Macaca mulatta: one gene and its partners. The protein of the gene in region 1 interacts with the protein of each later gene in a pairwise test. Links are inferred from orthologs where the notes say so. Each region holds a gene or a part of one and is shown in the gene's direction. Other genes may lie near its edges.

The links.
Region 2: the proteins of FAM76B (region 1) and uncharacterized protein LOC711182 interact in binary tests that used the Homo sapiens proteins (3 or more experiments, as listed by UniProt). The two-hybrid records come from large-scale screens. The link is inferred for Macaca mulatta from reciprocal best matches to the Homo sapiens genes FAM76B and KRTAP10-11.
Region 3: the proteins of FAM76B (region 1) and GRN interact in binary tests that used the Homo sapiens proteins (3 or more experiments, as listed by UniProt). The link is inferred for Macaca mulatta from reciprocal best matches to the Homo sapiens genes FAM76B and GRN.

Annotation. Positions count from the first base shown.
Region 1 is NC_133419.1:96,600,596-96,604,756, reverse strand, and holds the start of FAM76B (protein FAM76B), read left to right. Parts: upstream 1-1,352; 5' UTR 1,353-1,677; coding exon 1,678-1,764; intron 1,765-2,168; exon of another isoform or gene 2,169-2,283; coding exon of another isoform or gene 2,284-2,292; intron 2,293-2,597; coding exon 2,598-2,662; intron 2,663-3,489; coding exon 3,490-3,544; intron 3,545-4,161. Other genes in the region: CEP57 (centrosomal protein of 57 kDa), read right to left, coding at 408-452. UniProt on the Homo sapiens protein: Negatively regulates the NF-kappa-B-mediated inflammatory pathway by preventing the translocation of HNRNPA2B1 from the nucleus to the cytoplasm.
Region 2 is NC_133408.1:2,975,450-2,978,675, forward strand, and holds uncharacterized protein LOC711182, read left to right. Parts: upstream 1-1,422; 5' UTR 1,423-1,556; coding exon 1,557-2,174; coding exon of another isoform or gene 2,175-2,312; coding exon 2,313-2,630; 3' UTR 2,631-2,634; downstream 2,635-3,226. UniProt on the Homo sapiens protein: In the hair cortex, hair keratin intermediate filaments are embedded in an interfilamentous matrix, consisting of hair keratin-associated proteins (KRTAP), which are essential for the formation of a rigid and resistant hair shaft through their extensive disulfide bond cross-linking with abundant cysteine residues of hair keratins.
Region 3 is NC_133421.1:68,721,814-68,726,232, forward strand, and holds the start of GRN (progranulin), read left to right. Parts: upstream 1-1,485; 5' UTR 1,486-1,518; exon of another isoform or gene 1,519-1,790; intron 1,791-1,794; 5' UTR 1,795-1,926; intron 1,927-4,419. UniProt on the Homo sapiens protein: Secreted protein that acts as a key regulator of lysosomal function and as a growth factor involved in inflammation, wound healing and cell proliferation. Regulates protein trafficking to lysosomes, and also the activity of lysosomal enzymes.

The DNA of each region.
Region 1 (4,161 bases):
AGCTGTCTCTTAAAATCACCGGCGCGCCTACCTGCTCTGGCGAGTTTCCTAGAGGGGCCGCTGAACTCACGTGACCAAACGAGCTACGTTTTCGCAGGCCAGGGAGTGGGCAGTTATCCCAGTTGGGCCTTGAGAATGTTAGGCAACCGGGGTTGCTACGCCGAAAGGTGAATGAAGGATGGGGAACAGAGACGGCCAGTCTCCGTTCCAGTTTCACTGGAAGCCAGAGGGTGCAGTCTCGACAGAGGAACAGTGAATGGAAGCTTGGGGAGCGCGGGGCAATCTAGGCACTCCCGCCGTCCTCCGGAATTGACTCAGAAGCTGGACTGACAGAGCCCTGAAAGTGAGGAAACTCAAAGAGGCGCTTGGGACCGACGTGGGGACCACTCGCGCCAACTGCTGCTTACCGACAACTGGGAACCAGAAGCCGCAGAGACAGACGCCGCCGCCATCTTTCAGCCTGCCCAGGGGGGGTCTCCGCACCTTGGGGGCGGTCTGGGTTCTCGTGCTCTTCTCCAAGACTCGGGAGCCGCCCACCAGGGGCGACCCTGGGCTGAACCCCTGATGGAAAAGGGCAACGGTGCTGGTGCTCGCCTTGGAAACCCCTGCCACACACCCCCTCAGAGCAGCCTACGCTCACACCGTACACAGAAAAGGCAACACGTCCTAACGGACGTCTTCCCTAGCCAATCAAAACAGCAGGCGTCTTTTAGTAGCAGGAGAGAATCCGCCTCTTCCCTGGTGACGTCACAAGGTAGCGCGTAACTGGGCCTGCTGGGGGCCTACAACGCCGCGGGCTACTGGCCGGCTCTGCGGGGATTCTACGGTGGGGCGGGCCTCCTCCAGTAAGAAGCGTGGGCGAGTAGTGTTGTCGCCAGTGGCAACCGAACGGAGTAATGGAGATAAAACAAAAGCGAAGGCGAAGTTAAAGCACTCCACGAGTTCCCTCGGATTAAACGCAGGAGAGAGCGTGAGTTTGCCTCGGGGACGCCTCTCCAGGTGAAGTACTTACCTTTTGGCCAATAACAAATAGGATTAGGAGGGACTTAACGACTTAGTCCAATAGAAAGCAAGGATAAAAAAGTTGCGGCAGAGAACGAGCCTTTCGCGAACACTTGCCCAATTGGATTGGGGCGCTCTCACCCAAACCTGGGACTGGCTGTTAGAAATAGCCGCGACCGCAGACCTTTGGGCGGGGCAGGTTCAAAGCGGATTTCGCGCGCTGAGAGCTCCGGGCTCTCATTGGCCGGCGACATCCTCCCTTTGTGGGCGCTCCAGGCGTCGCGGAAGTTGGAGGTTGGGAGGAGCCACCGAGTGACGCGTGGCCTCCGCAGCCAATCAGGGATGGGGAAGGGAGGCCGAGAAGGAAGCGGATCCGCGGTCGCGCAGCTAAACAGCAACCCCTACCCGCTTCGTCTCCCTCCGCCGCTATCGGGGCCTAAGCGGGAGCGGCTGGCACGGCGTCACTGGGTGGGCTGGGGCGGAAGTGGAGGCGGAGGGAGACGGTGGCGTCGTCCGCGGGGCCCTGGGCTCTGGCGGCGAGGCCCTGGTGGGCGCGAGGCAGGGGGAGGGGGAGGAGGAGGAGCCCGCGGCCCGGGCGGCGGCGGCGGGTCTCGAGTTCTCCGTAGGGCCCCGCCTCGGAGCGGGCGGCGGCGGAGGAGGAGACTGAGGAGCAGGATGGCGGCCTCGGCCCTGTACGCCTGCACCAAGTGTACCCAACGCTATCCCTTCGAGGAGCTCTCCCAGGGCCAGCAGCTCTGCAAGGTCCGTGGCCTCCGGGAGGAGGGCGGGATGGATGTCCTCGGTCGTAGCCGGAGGGGGCCGGGTAGCCGCTGCACTGCAGCCCCTCTCTCTTTGCCGGCGCCTCGGGGGTTTGGGAGTCTGGTGTCCCCGCCTCCCCACTCGGGGACCCCTTTTTCTGGGGGCTTGAACATCAGCTGGGAACGGCCCCTGAGAGGGAGGCAGAATCGTGCCCTCTTCCAGGAGGCCCGGGCGGGTGCCGAACCCCGTCAGCGTCTGAGGGGTCTCAGAGGTGGGGTTGAGTGAGGCAGCCACCTGTCTATACCGCAGAGACCCAGGGGTGGAGATGTTTTCATCTCGGTTTTCTGCCTGGTCTGTCCTCTTCTTCCACCAGGAGGCAGGGGACGATTTTTGCACTTTCTTGCTAGGAACCCGAAGCCGCAAAGCTGATGGCATCCTCCTTCCCTGTCCAGGAAAGCGAAGCGACTGGTTTGGGAACAGAATGCTCTGATTTGGAGCTCCTCCCATCCCATTAAAGCCAGGATGCTGTCTGTGAGCAACGGTGCAAAATAATAAGTAGTTTCACATTTAACCAATCCTTGAAATCGGCCCTGACAGCTTTCTTAATTTGTCTGTAATATACCCCACGTCTACTAAAGACAAAGACACCTATGCCTTCCCTGAGGAATTATATTGTGATTGGCCACTTATATGATAAAGCATCCAGTTCCTTACGTTGGGGCCAGGTTTTATCAATATTTTAGACATTTCACTAGGTTGGGTAAACAATTTTCTACCAGAAAAGTGACATTTGGGACTTTCAGATAGATACCGACTAATGTATTGTCTTATTACAGGAATGTCGGATTGCACATCCTATTGTAAAATGTACTTACTGCAGATCAGAATTTCAACAAGAGAGGTTTGTATACTGAACAGTTTTTGACTGTTAAAGACAAGTGTTGTCTGTATGGAATATTTGGGGGTTGTAATCCCATATTTTTGTGAAAGTATTTTTAAAAAATGGTTTAGCCCCAGAAATTTTAAGTTGTAAACCTTTTATACATGGTGGGAGAGAATGTTGCCAAAAAAACCAGGGGTTGTTAATTTACCGTTACACTTTATATGAGACAGAATAAATTACTACGTGGAAAATGTACAGCCTTGCTAATGAAAATGCAAATGTAAACAGTTACTGTTACGCTAAAAAAAAAAGGTAAAGCTTTAATGGACCTGAGGAAAAGTCTGTAGTGTTACCAACTGCCGTCCAAGGGTGAAATGTAGTAATTTGTTACATGGAAGAGGAGTAGTACGTAACATTTTTAACAGTTACTTCTGCTCTGAGAGTATATACAGAAAGTAGCCTCAGAAAAGAACAAATAATTTCTTCTTAAATAGGTGTGGGCATTATAATGTTGGACAATAGCCAAGTGGAAGGTTAGGTAGGCACTGGTATTGTAATGCTGTGCATTAATAGTGGCAAGTGTGAAGATTTTGGAGCTATATAGGAAACATTATGATGTTTTGTATACAAAAAGAAATACACAATAAAAATGTATAAAAATATTTGTCTTAAGTTAATTTGGGTAAAACAACTCTGAAAAGATCCTTGTGTTTTTGAGAAAAATCTGTGGTCCATATTAGAGTAAGTTTTAAGTACTACAAATCTTTGACTCATTTTATTTTGGCATTGTGCTAATTGCTTTAGAAAGCTACATAAACATGATATATATACAATTTCTTTTTCAGCAAAACTAACACAATTTGTAAGAAGTGTGCTCAAAATGTGAAGCAATTTGGGACGGTAAGTATGTCATGTTTTCATGTCATTGTTACCAGTTAATATTTTTCACAAAGCTGGACCTTTTAAAAAGTACATACTGCTGGCCGGGCGCAGTGGCTCACGCCTGTAATCTATCACTTTGGGAGGCCAAGGCAGGCGGATCACGAGGTCAGGAGATCGAGACCATCCTGGCTAACACAGTGAAACCCCGTCTCTACTGAAAAAAAAAAAAAAAAAAAAAATTAGCCGGGCATGGTCGTGGGCGCCTGTAGTCCCAGCTACTCCAGAGGTTGAGGCAGGAGAATGGCGTGAACTCGAGAGGCGGAGTTTGCAATGAGCCGAGATCCTGCCACTGCATTCCAGCCTGGGCAACAGAGCAAGACCCCGTCTCAAAAAAAAAAAAAAAAAAAAAAGATGTACTGCTGTGCTCTTATGTATTTCAACATACCATATTTTATGAAAGAAATCTTCCATAGATATTTTGATGGAAAGGTGACAACATTTAAAAACAGTCAAATTATATGCCTGTTTTACATGTATTGAATATCAGTGTGAAATTTGTGAAGCTATTCTTTAAAGATTCAAATATAGCAAATTCTTGGTTATGGAGAGCTTATCCATGAAGTTTGCGTGATCAG
Region 2 (3,226 bases), on another chromosome or scaffold:
TGTATTGGGTGCATATATATTTAGGATAATTAGTTCTTCTCATTGAATTGATCCTTTTATCATTATGTAATGCCCTTCTTTGTCTTTTTTGATCTTTGTTGGCTTAAAGTCTGTTTTATCAGAGACTAGAATTGCAACCCCTGCTTATTTTGCTTTCCATTTGCTTGGTAAATTTTCCTCCATTCCTTTATTTTGAGCCTATGTGTGTCTTTGCAAGTGAGATGGGTCTCCTGAATACAGCACACTAGTGGGTCTTGACTCATCCAATTTGCCAGTCTGTGTCAAGCTATTGTTTCTACGAAATAATATATTTCCACTGTAGCCTGACTTTGCCGGGTAGTCCTCCAACAGAGCCCTTAGCCATACCCATCAAAGGTCAGAGGCTTCAAACCCTGCAGCCTGTGGGCCCCACCAAGCACTCAGTGGAGCCCTGGCCTAATTTTGGAGAGACCTGCAGCCTGGGGCATCATCAGAGCCTCTGCTCTGCCATTTCAAAGATTTAGTAAAAATAGTGATCATAGAGTGAGGAGATGAGGGATCCATGATCAGAACTTTGGGGGCTCACTAGGGCACAGGTATGTTCCCAAGCACAGGCATGGGCTGATACACACAGGTGTATAGGTATTTGTGAGACAAGGCTCTGCAATCAGACCCTTTTATTTGTACATTTACTATGACAATGTCCAGGAGACAACAGTAGAACTACTACATTCTGATGACTTTCTGGCCCATAAGGGAAGAGACCTTGGAGCTCCCAAGGACACCATTGCAGGTGATGTTGCCTGAGACGTGAGAGGTGTGAACGCTATTGTTCACACCACTGGGGGAAGGTCCCATAGCAGTTCAACATGAAATGAAACAAAGGTGCTTGCCCCTCATCTCCATCCCTACTGGGCTGGGCCTGCAGCTGCCTCCCTGCTCCTCTCTGTAAGCCCATCTCTGCCCAGGAAGACATTATTCCCTCACACCTGCCCCAGGGCTCACCCCCAGCAGAGATACGCCCCACGGTTCCCACTGACAACCAGCAGTGTCAACCCACAGGGTGGATCTCGCCTTGTGGCCAGGACGACGGAGCATCATCAAACCTGAACACATCTCCCTCTCCTCCAGGCCCAGAAACTGAGGTTCTCCTAACCTCATCCCTCCTTAGGTGCAGAAGTGTTTTATAAGCGCAAACTCCTCCTGGGATGGAGCAGAGGGCTGTCAATTCCAGAATATCGCCTCATTGCCACTGTCCCTGCTTCTGGAGTGCGCTTTGATGCAATCAATAGATTTCTACTGGTTTATCTATGGACAAACCCACATTAGGGAAGACCCAACTCCAGTCAGGAGCCTCACAAACCAGAACATCCACAAACAATGAACCAACACTACTAACACAACAGTGCCTACAACAACAAGGAAAACGAAGGCTTCTCAAAGCCAGCCAGGGGTAGCACAATCAACACAGAGGGGTATAAAGGTTCCAACCACTCAGAACACCTGGCACGACCACTCACTCACTCACTCACTCACTCACTCACATCTCCCCCAGCTCACCTCCTCCGCACCCCAGCATGGCCACATCCACCATGTCCGTCTGCTCCAGCACTTGCTCTGACTCCTGGCAGGTGGACGACTGCCCAGAGAGCTGCTGTGAGCCCCCCTGCTGTGCCCCCAGCTGCTGCGCCCCGGCCCCCTGCCTGACCCTGTTCTGCACCCCAGTGAGCTGTGTGTCCAGCCCCTGCTGCCAGGTGGCCTGTGAGCCCAGCCCCTGCCAATCAGGCTGCACCAGCTCCTGCACACCCTCGTGCTGCCAGCAGTCTAGCTGCCAGCCGGCTTGCTGCACCTCCTCCCCCTGCCAGCAGTCCTGCTGCGTGCCTGTCTGCTGCAAGCCCGTCTGCTGCAAGCCTGTGTGCTGTGTGCCCGTCTGCTGCAAGCCTGTGTGCTGTGTGCCTACCTGCTCTGAGGATTCCTCTTCATGCTGCCAGCAGTCTAGCTGCCAGCCAGCTTGCTGTGCCTCTTCCTCCTGCCAGCAGGCCTGCTGCGTGCCCGCCTGCTGCAAGCCCGTGTGCTGTGTGCCCACCTGCTCTGAGGATTCCTCTTCATGCTGCCAGCAGTCTAGCTGCCAGCCAGCTTGCTGCACCTCCTCCCCGTGTCAGCAGGCCTGCTGTGTGCCCGTCTGCTGCAAGCCTGTCTGCTGCAAGTCTGTCTGCTGTGTGCCCGTCTGCTCTGGGGCTTCTACTTCATGCTGCCAGCAGTCTAGCTGCCAGCCAGCTTGCTGCACCTCCTCTCCGTGTCAGCAGTCCTCCTGTGTGCCTATCTGCTGCAAGCCTGTCTGCTGCAAGTCCGTCTGCTGTGTGCCCGTCTGCTCTGGGGCTTCCACTTCATGCTGCCAGCAATCTAGCTGCCAGCCGGCTTGTTGCACCACCTCCTGCTGCAGACCCTCCTCCTCTGTGTCCCTCCTCTGCCGCCCTGTGTGCAGGCCCGCCTGCTGCGTGCCCATCTCCTCCTGCTGTGCCCCCACCTCCTCCTGCCAGACCAGTTGCTGCCGCCCAGCCTCCTGCGTGTCCCTCCTCTGCCGCCCCGTGTGCTCCCGCCTCTCTTCCGCGTGCTGCGGCCTCTCCTCAGGCCAGAAGTCCAGCTGCTGACGGGCAGGTCCTGTTTCTCCAGAGTTGTTCCAGGGCCATCTCTGACTTCCGAAAATCCTTGCAGCCCTGAGCCCTGTCTGAGTCTCCTCTGCCCAGAGCCACTGTACCTCCAACCGGCAACGCTGAGCCTTCATGCTGAGTTCCCTCCAGGCATGCATCTCTCCCACACCCTCATCTCCATCCTGGCCAGCCGGTGGTCGCTGCGTCCTGCCCCATGTGTGTGATCAGTCTGTCAACGAATAAAGTCACCACTGTGCCCTCTCAGAGGTCTTTTTTGCATGTCTGGCAAGCCCTGGGGGAAGAACTTCGATGTGCTGTGTGGGGCGGGAGCTTCGGGCCTCTGGCCTTGAGCTGCATCCAGGCTGACAGCACCAGGGGCAGAAGCAGTCCTGACTTCCCGCTGTGTGGGGTCTGCTGCTGTGGGGTCCCCTGCCAGCCTCAGCATCTCCAGGCCCCAGGGGTGCCCTTCTCTATGAATGCCCTGCACCCACTGGGCCTGGCCTCTCCCTCCCTCTCTCTCCTTTCTCTGCCTGTCTGACCCCCCACTCACCATCTTCTCACCAGCCCTCTCTTATTAAATGAAATAAATACTTCTC
Region 3 (4,419 bases), on another chromosome or scaffold:
TCTCCTGGCCCATCTCCCATCACCCATCTCTGCCTGGCCCAGGCCCATTGGCACCGAGCAGCCTGACTCTCGTCACTGGCTAATGTGTTCTGTGGTACATTTTCTCTCCTCACCCTCCCATATCAATTCCTCGAAGGCAGGGCCAGGGGAGACTAGGAAGCCACTTCCCTTTCGACAGCCCCCGCCACAGCCCTGCCTGTGCCAGGCACCTAGCAGCTCCTGAAGCCCACTGGCATTGAACATGGCATTCAATCCCTGCCAAGCCTGCCCTTCCCATCTGGTTTCCCAGGGCTCTTCCCAACACACCTCCTCCACCTGCCAGTTAAAATCTTCCCAAACTCAGCTCAAGGAGATGCTTCTAAGGTGGAATGAAATATCTTCTTCCCCACCTGTAGACAATCTACTTCCTCTCCCCACACCTGGCAACTGGCGCACGACCTTGTATATTAAATTAGATTCAGCCTGAGACTGTCTCCCACCAATCCCTGCCCCCTGTCCTGCTGAGCACCTGGAGGAAAGGGCTTTTGGGCTGTTTATCTTTGTCCTGGAAACCATCCTTCAACTCACTCTGGGCCCTGCCTAGCATGTCATCCGAGTTTGCAGAATAGGGCAGGACAGGACAGGGCAGGATAGGATAGGATAGGAGCGAGTGAGCCCGGTAGCTCACACCTGTAATCCCAGTTCCTCGGGGGCCTGCGGTAGGAGAATCGCTTTGGGAGCAGGAGTTGCAGGCCGCAGTGAGCTATGATCAGCTTGGGCGACCAAGCGAGACCCTTTCTCTAAAACAAACACACAAGGTCGGGTGCGGTGGCTTAGGCCTGTAATCCCAGCGCTTTGGGAGGCCGAGGCGGGCGGATCACGAGGTCAAGAGATCAAGACCATCCTGGCCAACATGGTGAAACCCCGTCTCTACTAAAAATACAAAAATTAGCTGGACTTGGTGGCGCGCGCCTGTAGTCCCAACTACTCGGGAGACTGAGGCAGGAGAATCGCTTGAACCCGGGAGGCAGAGGTTGCAGTGAGCCGAGATCGTGCCACTGCACTCCAGCTTGGCGACAGAGTGAGACTCCATTTCAAAACAAACAAACAAACAAACAAAAGAATAGAAAGAGGAGCACAAATATTCCCAATTCATAACAGTCCCTCGCACTGTCAATGCCCCAGACACGCGCTATCATCTCTAGCAAACTCCCCCAGGCACCTGCAGGATGGGTGAAAGAAGGCGACGAGCACCAGCTGCCCTGCTGAGGCTGGCCCGGCGTCACATGATTCTCCAATCACATGATCCCTAGAAATGGGGTGTGGGGCGAGAGGAAGCGGGGAGGAGAGTGATTTGAGTAGAAAAGAAACACAGCATTCCAGGCTGGCCCCACCTCCACATTGATAAGTAGCCAATGGGAGTGCGGCAGCCCTGATCCCTGGCCAATGGAAACTGAGGTAGGCGGGTCACCGCGCTGGGATCTGTAGTCTGAGCGCTGCCCGGTTGCTGCTGCCCAGGGACCGCGGATCCGGACGCAGGTAGGAGGGCGGCCGCGCAGACCTCTGGCCTGCTCCTGCCCAGGGGCCCGGCCAGGGCCATGTGAGCTTGAGGTTCCCCGGGAGTCTCAGCCGGAGACAAGACAAGAACCGCTTATTGAAACTCCTTGGGGGTTCTGATACACTAGAGGGAGTTTTATGGGAAAGAGGAAGCAGTAACTGCAGTGACCTCTGTTAGAAGGGGGCTTTCTACCTCCCCAGCATTCCCCCAAAGCAGGGACCACACCATTCTTGACTCAGCTCCACCCCTGTCGGTAGGTGCCGGCTTCTTTCCCTCTCGTGGTGGTGGTGGGTGGTTCCCGCGGCGGCCTGAAGCCGGAGGGGCGCGCGACCCTGGGCTGGGAGCTCCGAGGGCCTGGGAACGGGACCTGAAACCTTGGCTTCTCGAAGGTAGTAGGGACTTGGGAGTGGTGACTGAACCTGGTCTGGCTCCTCCTTACTTCCTCTTTTTGGGGGTGGGACGAGCTAACTTCCGCCTCTCCCAGCCACTTTTTCCTGCTCAGTTGCAGCTAGGCTGGCTCCCCTTTTGGGAATTTCTTCTCCCCTTGGCACTCGGAGTTGGGGGCTGCCACCTAGTGGAAGATAACGGAGCTAGGGTCTTGAAGAGGCTGCTGTCCCCTCTGGCTGTTTTGGCGGTGTAGGGTGGCGTGAGAGACTGCGACTCGCCTCCTCATCCCTGTTTCTGTATGCGTGTGCATGTATTCAGTAGAAGCATACACTATACTCCCTCAACTCAGGGTAAACAGGAGGGGCCATGCACAGGTAACTCACCAGAGAGCTGAACACTCCTGTGCAGACAGACTCCCCTTCCCAGCAAGCCAGGGCAGCGGACAGCCTGCTGAGAACACGCAGGAAGTAGGCAGTGCCAGCTGCAGGTGTTTTGCCTGGGAGCTGTGGGGCTGAGGAGAGGGTCCACTGTCCAGGACCAGTCAACTGCATCCTTATCTGTCCAGGAGGTGGCCTCTTCGGGATGCTGAGTTAGGGGAGGGGCACTTGAGGAAAGCCAATTGGAGCAGAGAGGATGTGAGTGACTGAGTGGGTGACATTTCCTGCCCTTCCCCCCTCCAATGGTATCCACACATAGACTCGTGGGGGAACTGAGGCACAGACAGGGAGCAACTTCTCAGGCCCTCACAGTTGGCAATTCCAGGATTAGGACTCAAGTGCGATTTCCAGGCAGTCCCTGTTTCTGTCGTACCTGTTGCACCTATCCCCCTGGGGCGTAGGGGTCCATTCTCAGGCACTGCCCATTGTGCCACTAGTGATATTAACCCAGGTCCAATACGCTCTGGGGCCATCAAAGCCTGTCGTCACCATGACCTGATGTGTGACATGTTATCGGTGTCCCTTGGTATCTTCATGGAACTGGTTCCAGGACCCCAAAGTCTGTGGGTGCTCAAGTCCCTGATACAAAATGGTGTGATATTTGCATATAACCTATACATACTTTAAATCATTTCTAGATTACTTATGCCTAATACAATGGAAATGCCATGTTGGCTGGGCACGGTGGCTCATGCCTGTAATCCCCACACTTTGGGAGACTGTGGTGGGTGGATCACCTGAGGTCAGGAGTTCGAGACTGGCAGCCTGGCCAACATGGTGAAACCCCTATCTCTACTAAAAATACAAAAATTAGCCAGGTGTGGTAGCAGACTCAGGAGGCTGCTCAGGAAGCTGAGGCAGGAGAATTGCTTGAACCCGGGAGGCAGAGGTTGCAGTGAGCTGAGATTGCGCCACGGTACTACAGCCTGGGCGTCAGAGCAAGACTCCGTCTCAAAAAAAAAAAGAAAAAAAAAAAAGAAAAGAAAAAGAGTGCAGCACACCAACATGGCACAAGTATACATATATAACAAACCTGCACGTTATGCACATGTACCCTACAACTTAAAGTATAACAATAATAAATAAATTAAAAAAAAAAAAAGAAATGCCATGTAAATAGTTGTGATCCTGAATTGTTTAGGGAATAATAAGAAAGAACAATCTGTACATGTTCAGTATAGATGCACCCATCCTAAGCCTAACTACATAGTATACCTCAGCAACAATGTAACATTTTCTGGGGTTTTTGTTTTGTTTTGTGAGACGGAATCTCAGTCTCGCTCTATCACCCAGGCTGGAGTATGGTGGCACGATCTCCTCCACTCACTGCAACCCCCACCTCCTGGGCTCAAGCGTTTTCCTGCCTCAGCCTCTTGAGTAGCTGGGATTACAGGTGTGCACTACCACGCATGGCTAATTTTTGTATTTTTAGTAGAGATGGGGGTTTCACCATGTTGGTCAGGCTGGTCTCGAACTCCTGACCTCGTGATCCGCCCACTTAGGCCTCCCAAAGTGCTGGGATTAGAGGTGTGAGCCACCACACCCAATATTTTTTGATCTCTGGTTGGATACGGAGGGCTGACTGTACTTAACATCTCTGAGCTTCAGTTTCTTCCTTTGAAAGTAAAGGTGGCTGGGCGTGGTGGCTCACGCCTGTAATCCCAGCACTCTGGGAGGCCGAGGTGGGTGGATCACGAGGTCAGGAGATCGAGACCATCCTGGCTAACACAGTGAAACCCCGTCTCTACTAAAATACAAAAAATTAGCCAAGCGTGCTGGCAGGCGCCTGTAGTCTCAGCTACTCAGGAGGCTGAGGCAGGAGAATGGCGTGAACCCAGGAGGTGGAGCTTGCAGTGAGCTGAGATAGCACCACTGCACTCCAGCCTGGGAGACAGGGAGAGTCCGTCTCAAACAAACAAACAAAAAAGTAAAGGTGAGGCCAGGTGTGGTGACTCAAGCCTGTAATCCCAGCACTTAGGGAGGCTGAGGCGGGTGGATCACCTGAGGTCAGGAGTTCAAGACCAGCCTGACCAATATGGTGAAACCCCCTCTCTACTA